Oryctolagus cuniculus: one gene and its partner. The protein of the gene in region 1 binds, or shares a complex with, the protein of each later gene. Links are inferred from orthologs where the notes say so. Each region holds a gene or a part of one and is shown in the gene's direction. Other genes may lie near its edges. The genes, in order: ACTL6B and DPF1.

The links.
Region 2: ACTL6B (region 1) and DPF1 share a complex: the UniProt entries of both Homo sapiens proteins name them as parts of the neuron-specific chromatin remodeling complex. The link is inferred for Oryctolagus cuniculus from reciprocal best matches to the Homo sapiens genes ACTL6B and DPF1.

The regions. Positions count from the first base shown.
Region 1 is NC_091450.1:42,839,259-42,843,615, reverse strand, and holds the start of ACTL6B (actin-like protein 6B), read left to right. Parts: upstream 1-1,348; 5' UTR 1,349-1,469; coding exon 1,470-1,494; intron 1,495-1,903; coding exon 1,904-1,980; intron 1,981-2,173; coding exon 2,174-2,339; intron 2,340-2,628; coding exon 2,629-2,729; intron 2,730-4,357. UniProt on the Homo sapiens protein: Involved in transcriptional activation and repression of select genes by chromatin remodeling (alteration of DNA-nucleosome topology).
Region 2 is NC_091449.1:16,351,945-16,356,210, forward strand, and holds the start of DPF1 (zinc finger protein neuro-d4), read left to right. Parts: upstream 1-1,383; 5' UTR 1,384-1,387; coding exon 1,388-1,530; intron 1,531-4,266. UniProt on the Homo sapiens protein: May have an important role in developing neurons by participating in regulation of cell survival, possibly as a neurospecific transcription factor. Belongs to the neuron-specific chromatin remodeling complex (nBAF complex).

The DNA.
Region 1 (4,357 bases):
ACTCTGAGACGGCCGGTGGAGATGGAGGTTGAAGGGGAGTGGAACTGACTTGGGAGGAAGTGAGGCAACATTTCTCAGTGTTCAGCAGACAGCATGCAGAGGATCAGCATGAACAGAATCTCTTTCACCCCTTCAAACCCCCACCCCCAGCATTTGGAAGATGAAGAGATACAGGCTATGGGAGCTTAGCGGGCTCACGCAGTTCATGCAGGCCTCACATTATAGAGAAGTCAGTGACTGGCCTGTGGTCACTTGAGAAAATGTCAATCTCCTAGCTGCTGGGTCAGCTCCTTCCCTCCCCTCCAGCTCACTCCTCCCACTGACACCTGCAGGGCTCCAGTCTGGGGAGCCAGACCTGGACTCGGAACCCACCGCGGGTATGCGCAATGCCACTGTCACCAGGAAGTAATGAATGAGCCAGCTCAGCCCATCCTTTGGTTGAGGGAAGAGCTGGGTCTTTTCCACAAGGGGCAACCAGTGAGCAGAGAACCCTCGGGGACATGCCGCAGTCACACTACCCTCTTCCTGTGCCATTTCTGTTCTCACAGCTCCCAAACCCCAAACAAGCAGGTGGGAGTGCAGAAGTGCCCCAACACATTATATTCACGTGTGCATATGCACATGCACACAGCCGACACATTATGTTCACATGTGCATATGTACATGCACACACACACACACACGGCCACACTGGCCAGCACAGGCTCAGAGTCTGACTCAGGCAGTCAGAGCTGCTGCTTCACTTCTGCTATCCAAACCTGCTATGCTGGTAGTGCTGGGAGCCCAGAAGAACCCAGGGCCTACCAGAAACTGGACACCGTGATCATTGCCTCCCAGGGAGAACAGGCGGTTGAGCAGAGAGGGAAGGGTAAGGACAGGCCAGCTGAGTGCCTGTGTGTGCATGTGTGCACGTGTGTAGGTGGAAGGCCCAGGAGAGGAAAAGAGGCCATGAGGGAGACCAGGGTGGGAAGACACGGGGAAGAGATGGAGACACACCCCCTCGGGTCGCGCCCTCTCTGTCTTCCCTTCTACTCCCGGGAGACGTCCTTCAGGCCTAGGTGTGACAGAAACCTTGTGATGGTGGCACTCCCCCCAACACACCCCACAGCCCATTTGAAAAGCTACGGCAGCAGGGTCCCCATCAGTCACCCTGTGGGATCCTGGTCTCGGGGAGGACAAGGTCTCCCTCGTTCTCCTACTCTCCTCTCTGCCGCCCATTGCTTAGGGCTGGTCTTCCTGGGGTCCTCCCCGCCGCCGAGCGCGAAGGTGTCTGCGCCTTTAAAGCGGCGGCCCCCGGCCGGGTTATTGTCTCGCCTCGCAGCCAATCGCCGGAGCCGTTGGGGGCGGGGGACCCGGCCTCCCGATTGGCCGCCGCGCGCCCCGCCCGCCCGGGATCCCGGGAGCTGTCCGGCCGCCGCGGTGCTGATCCCGCCGCCGCCCACGGGCCGCGAGCCGCACCGAGGGGCACTATGAGCGGGGGCGTCTACGGCGGAGGTGAGCCGGTCCCGGGCCTCCGGGGCCTCGCGCGCAGCCCTGCGCCCCGTATCCGCGCCACCCAAGCTCGGGGCACCCCGGGGCCTGTCACCTCGGCGCTCGAGCGAGTCCGACCCCAGGTTTGGGTCCCGTGCCACCCCTACTTTCTGTCTTCCCGGGACGCCCCAGGCGCGCCGGGCCCAGCCTCTCCACTATCCAGCCCTTCTCCGCCCGACCCCTGGCTCCGTCCTTCCCAGCCCCGAGAGTGGCCTGAACAAGGCCACCGGGTAGGAGGGAACTCTGGCGGCTTGACCCCCACTCCAAGGCCCCCACTCGGACTGTGGCTCTGCCCTGTCCCCCTTCCTCTCGGATCTGTCCGCGAGGACAGAGTTTGGGGAAGGTCTCCTCACCTGCTTGTCTCCCCGCACAGATGAGGTGGGGGCGCTGGTCTTCGACATTGGCTCCTTCTCGGTCCGCGCCGGGTATGCTGGGGAGGACTGTCCCAAGGTGAGACTTTCAGATCTCTTCCCAAATCCTCCCCAGGCTCGCCACTAACCCAGGGCTCTCCCAGCCGAGCCCACACGCTCTGCTGAGCAAGTGTGGGAGAAGAGCCAGGGGCGGGCTGAGGACCCTGCCCTGGGGCTGAACGGGTAACCGGGTGATCTTCCTTTCTCTGCCCATGCTGCCCCCTCCCACCCAGGCTGACTTCCCCACCACGGTGGGGCTGCTGGCCGCGGAGGAGGGGGGCGGGCTGGAGCTGGAGGGGGAGAAAGAGAAGAAGGGGAAGATCTTCCACATTGACACCAATGCCCTGCACGTGCCTCGGGATGGAGCGGAGGTCATGTCGCCCCTCAAGAACGGCATGAGTAAGGGCCCCCCCCCCCGACCCTGAGTCAGACCAGGAGCCCACTCCCAGCCCGTGGGACTCTGTCTCACAGCCACGGAGTCCTCCTCACAACTGTCCAAGTCCCAGGGACCTCCTCAGAGCCCCCTGTAGCTGCCTGGTTCCCAGCCCAGGAGCCCCAAATTCCCGGGAGTGGGGAAGGGGCTTTTCCTCTGGAGTTGAACTCCCCCTCCCCTGGACTTGGCGTCTCTCCCTGCTTCCTTTCCCGTCGCTGACCCCTCCCCGCCTCACCTGTGTCTTTCTGGCCCCAGTTGAGGACTGGGAGTGCTTCCGAGCCATCCTGGATCACACCTACAGCAAACACGTCAAGTCTGAGCCAAACCTGCACCCCGTGCTCATGTCAGAGGCCCCGGTGAGTGCCCTGGGGCCCCAGCACAGTCTTCCCACCCCTTACCTGTCCTTTCTCAGACAGTCCTTCCAGCCTTGTCATCTTGGGCCACCTGTCTTCCTCTTGCTCTACCTCTTTCTCTTCCTGCTCTATAAGCCCCTCTCCTCTCCAGTTCTTTTTTAATCCTTTAACTTGAAAATAGTTGTAGTACATATGGTCGATTTGCTTTGTAAAACATGTTAAGAAGAAACACTGCAGTTCTTGCCGCCTCTTCCATTTCCCCTTTTCCAAATGCCATTGCTTTTCTCCCTGTTATCTTTTTTTTTTTTTTTTTTGTATTTCTTTCCGTATCTCCCAATATCACACTTACATTGCTGTTTGCAGGTTTTCTATATTAGGCATCATCTAAGAATTTCCTACTAGAAAAAAGAGCATTGAGCTCTCTCCTCCTCTAGCCTATATCACACATACTTCTCATTCCCCACCTTTAAGTACAGTTCTGGCTTAGACTTCCTGAAAGATCAGTATTCACTATTTAGCCTCCTGTTACTATGTATGCTAATCAGGGCTGAGCTGGGGAATCCATGATCGCTTTTCTGTTTCTTGAGTGGCTTTAAACAATCTGATTTTAGCTCTCCTTTCACCCCCACGTCCAGAGCCAGCTGACAGCGCCCATTTCTAGTTCTCTCAGGGTTCCAAGCTCAGTACAGGTTGTTCCTGGCTTTTCCCAGTACTGCCTTACAGCATTTGTAAATCTGTTAAGTCAGTTACTACTCACCGATCTCATCCTTAACTTTCAAAGTTTGTTGCTGGTTGCTCTTTTCTTATTTTCTTTTTTAGATTTTTTTTTTTTTTTTTGGACAGGCAGAGTTAGACAGTGTGAGAGAGAGACAGAGAGGAGAAAGGTCTTCCTTCTGTTGGTTCACCCCACAAATGGCCGCTGCGGCCGGCACACTGCGCTGATCCGAAGCCAGGAACCAGGTGCTTCCTCCTGGTCTCCCATGCGGATGCAGGGCCCTAGAACCTGGGCCATTCTCCACTGCACTCCTGGGCCACAGCAGGGAGCTGGACTGGAAGAGGAGCAACCGGGACAGAACTGGCACCCCAACCGGGACTAGAACCAGGTGTGCCGGCGCCACAGGCGGAGGATTAGCCTAGTGAGCCGCAGCACCAGCCACTCTTTTCTTCTTTTCACAACCTGAGGCACTACTCTTTCTCAGGTGAAATTCACATGACATAAAATTCACCTTTTTAAGTCAATCATTGAGGGGCAGGCATTTGGCATAGTGGTTACGACGCCACTTGGGATGCCTGCATCCTACATCAGAGTGCCTGGGTACAAGTCGCAGCTCTGCTTCTGATTCCGGCTTCCTGTTAGTGTGCACCCCTGGGAGGCAGCAAGTGATGACTCAGTTATTTGGATCCCTGTCCCCCGTGTGGAAGACCTGGATTGAGTTCCTGGCTTCTGGCTTCAGCCTGGCCCAGTCTTGGCTGTTGAAGGATTTGGGGGAGTACATCAATGCATGGGAGCTCTGTCTGTCTCTCTCTCTCTCCATATTTCTGAGAAAAAAGCAATTCCATGATTTAAAAAAATTATTAATATAAAGAGAACAGATTTCGTGTATTTCTTTTTTGTTTTTCTTTTTTCTTTT
Region 2 (4,266 bases), on another chromosome or scaffold:
GAAAGCAGCCAGGGGAGATTTCAGCCTGAGCGTCTGTGTTTTAGACAGCTGTCTGCCGCCGTGGGAGCAGACTGGGGGGCAGTGGGAGAGCAGCGATGGAGCCGCCACCATGATCCATGCAGGGACGATGCTGGACAGGGATGGGGGGTTGCTGGACCTGCCCTGTGAATTGTAGAGAGGTCAGGATTTGCTGGTGGGCTTGGGTGTGTGTGTGTGCGTGCGCATGTGAGAAAGAAGAGGAGAGTAGGGGATGATTGATTGCACTTAGGAGAGAATCAGCTGCCCACATGGTCCTTCAGGAGGTGGGTCCTCCCCCCCCCCGCCCCAGCTACGTCTTCCTACTCAGCTCTGCACAAAGCACCTGTGCCCACCTCAGGGCCTCTGTGCTCTTCCACTTGTCATGCGTGGCTGGCAACTTTTCAGGGCTCAACTCAAAAGTCACCCGCTCTGTGCAGCCACTCCTCCAAACCAAACTATTTTTTTTAAAGAAGATTTATTTATTTATTTGAAAAGCAGAGTTATAGAGAGGCAGAGACAGAGAGAGAGAGGTCTTCCATCCACTGGTTTACTCCCCAGATGGCTGCAATGGCTGGAGCTGCGCCGATCCGAAGCCAGGAGCCAGGAGCTTCTTCCGGGTCTCCCACGTGGGTGCTGGGACCCAAGGACTTGGGCCATCTTCTACTGCTATCCCAGGCCGTAGCCGAGAGCTGGACAGGAGTGGAGCAGCCGGGACTTGAACCGGCGCCCATATGGGATGCCGGCACTGCAGGCGGTGGCTTTACCTGCTACACCACAGCGCCAGCCCCCAAACTAATCTATTTTAATTCTGTTATAGCACTCAGCATTTTCTGAAAAGATCCCTTTATTATTATTATTTTAAAATCGTCTTTCTCCACTAGAACGTCAGCTTCCTGAGAGTAACGACTTGACTTTGGTCGCTGCTGCATTCCCAGTGCCTGGCACATGTAGTCAATACACGAACAAAGGCGTTGGATGAGCCCCCATGTTGTCAGAGACTGGCTTACCCCGAAGAGACGCCCCGATAAGTAGACTCAGACAAGAATCCGCCGCAGATCCTGGGGACATCCACAGACCCCAGGGAGACTCAGAACCACCCGGGAATGGAGAGCCCGGGCTGGGAACAGAGCACCCCCCGGGGAGGGGGAGAGGATGCTCCGGGAGGAGCCCCGCCCCGCCCTGTATCCCCGGCAGCCAATGGGCGCGCGGTCCTCCTGACGCCCCCTGGGACGTGTAGTCCGGGCAGGGGCGCCCTCGGGCGCCGCCGCGCGCCCCTAGACTCCACGTCCCGTCGTGCGCCGGGAGGCGCGGGGATTGGCCGAGCCCCGCCCCCGGCCCGCCCCGCTCCGCTCGCGCCGCAGCCCCAAGAATGAATGAAATCGTAGCGCGCTGGGCGGCAGAGCGGGCGGCGCAGGCCGGGCTGGGCCCGCGCGCGGCGGCAGCGGCGCCCCGGGCCGGAGGCGGCCCAGCCGAGCGGGCCATGGCTACCGCCATTCAGAACCCGCTCAAGTCGTGAGTGTCCCCGCTGTCCCGACCCGGGTCCGGAGTCCCCGCACCCCAGCCCTTCCTCCGCCCTCCCTGGGGCTGGGGAGGGGGACCCAGCGCGCGGATGGTAGTGGAATGGGGGTCCCCCCACGCGCCCCCGTGCCTCTGAGGACTGTCACCCTTTGCCGCCCCTCCGGGGGCTGGGCACGGGAGCCCCTCCTGGGTCGCGGGGGCGCCTCTTCTTTGTCGCTGTCAGTGAAGGAATGTGGCGCGGGCTGGGGGTGGGGGCTTCCCTCCCCGCCTCCATCTGCTGCGCGGTGTCTCTGGGGGCGGCGGGCCCGCCCCGGAGCGGGCTGGACGCGCGAACGCCCAAGTCCGGACCTGAGTCTCCGGGGTTCCCACCACCCCCTCGCTCCTCGCCCGAGCATCTTTCTCTACACCTCCTCCGCCTTCTCCGCGACCCCGGCGCTGCTGGCCTCGGGGTGGGGGCTCGGATGTCGGGGGCCCCCGGTCGAGTCCCCTTTGCTCCCCGGGTCCCCGGCACCCAGAAGCCCCGACGCCACGATCGCCTGGGGCCGCGGCTTCCCTTCTCTCCCGGCCCGTGCACCTCCAGCCCGAGCGTCTCGGCTCCCCTCGGGAGGGCTGCGCCTCCGTCTCGGGGGAACCCCTGCCTTCTCCACGCCCGCCTCCCTCCGGCTTCCTCTCGGCCCCGTGGCTTGGGATAAGGACGCCCGGGTCCGAGCCTGGCGCCTGCTGTCCCTCGCCCTCTCCACCTCTCTCTGGTTCCCTCCTCGGGATCCCGGACTCCTGGGTCCTGGCGCCCCCCACCCCCTTTCCCAGGCGGTGACAGCAGCTCTGAGTGGCAGGCGTGCGGCCGCTCCCGCCCTCTCTCCCCTCCCCCTCCTCCCGGGCCTGGTGGAGGAGGCGGAGGGCGAGCGCCTGGCGGCGCCGCACAAAGGGGCTGGGGCTACCTCCCCCACCCTGCCCCCAAGCCCCAGCGCTGGCTGCCTTGACCTTGAGCGCGGAGAGCTGGGGGTGGGCGAGTGCACCCCTCCTAATGAGGACTCTGTATGGTGGCTGGACCACTGGCCCTCCAGTTGTTGGCCCCTGGTTTCCGGGTTGGGGGTGCCAGGTGGCCGAGCAGGGTTTGTGCAGGGGCAGGGACTTTGGCAGCACGCACCTGCTGTGCGAGCAGAGTCAGTGCGAGGTGGTGCGTGGGGGTGGCAACCGCTTGTTCCTCTCCTGCCCCAAGGCATGCACACAGACAGACCCAAGAGGGACACCCCCAAACTGGCAGGCAGGGATGGGGCTCCTGCGCAGTCATGGGATCCACAGGCCCTCAGGGCCCTGTCTCTGGCCCTGGCTCAGGCCCTCGGAGGAATACTAGGAATAGGGTGCCACTCCTTGCAGGTGCCTGGAGGCCAAGGTCAGCCACAGGGGCCAGGCCAGTGCCTTTCCCCTGGGGAGTTCAGAACCCAGCTCAAGCCATTAATTCTCCCCCACCCCCACGCGCCTCAGTGTTACCATCTGTGAACTGGGGATTACAGCGGTTCTTAACTCCCGGGAGTGAGGCCTAGCGAGGCTTAAACACGGTGATCACTGGGAAGCCATCGGTGCGGAGCCTGACCCTGGCTAAACGCAGTGATGATTAGTCCAGTCAGCACTGGTTCATCAGTACTGGTCAGTAACGATTTCTCCTGGGGCCAGCACCCACTTAGGGCTGGGAGCTCGTGGGAGGGGAGGGGTCTGAGGGTGACTGAGGTCAGGCAAGGGCCAGCCTGGGTCTGTGGGCTCAGATCCCGCTGGTGGGCCAGGACCTCTGGGAGGTGACCTGGTCTCTACACCCAGGCCACACTGGGTCAAACTGAGTGTGCTGTGTCGGGGCCGCAGGCGGCTGGTCAGGCTGTGGCTGCAGGTGTGTGGAGCAAGAGTGCTGAGCCTGGGTCTGGGGGGCAGGGCTCATGGTGGGTCAGGTGTCTGGTGGCCACTAAAGGAGCCTGGAGGCCAGAGTGAGCTTGGGGTGCCAGCGCGTCCCACTTAGTCCTCTGAGCAGATGTGAGTCAGACACCCGACCCCTCCCGTCGGCGGCTGGTGGAGGGGCGGGTCAAGGCCCTACCTGGCTTAGATGGAGGAGAGTTTATGGAGGGACTAGAAGTGTGTGTGTGTGTAGGTGACCACGAGTTTCGGAGGCCTTGAGTGGATCTCGCTCAAGGAGGAGGGGACCAATTGACAAAGGAGGTGAAGACTGGCCCGCCCCGTCTGTGCGCTGGAGCGCCCCCTAGTGGACAAGGGGTGTGCAGGCGTGTTTATTTCCCTCAGCCTCTCAAACTAGGGTGCTCTTGAAGGGGGGATGCGTTTGCGTGTGCGTGTGTGTGTGTGTGTGTGTGTGGAGAGAGAGACAGAGAGAGAGAGAAACGGGAGAATGTGCCTTAGTGTGTCAGCTCACCTTCTAGGCATTCCTTAGGGTCGATTGAGTGTGTGTGTGTGTGCATGTGTGTGTGTGTGTGTGTGACCCAGGAGGTGAGGGATCAAAGTCCAGGTGCATGAATCCTTCCCTAGTGGCCTGGCCCAGCAGTCCCCAGGGGCTGAGGGCATGTAAGGTCACTTCCCTGTGACCACCTGACTCCTCATCTGAAAAACAGGTACGAAATAGGATTAACTCAGGACAGAGCTGTGCCTGCTTCGTGCTCAGTGGTATTTGTGGAGCACACTATGTGCAGGCATGATTCATTCATTCATTTTTTTTTTTTTTTTGGACAGGCA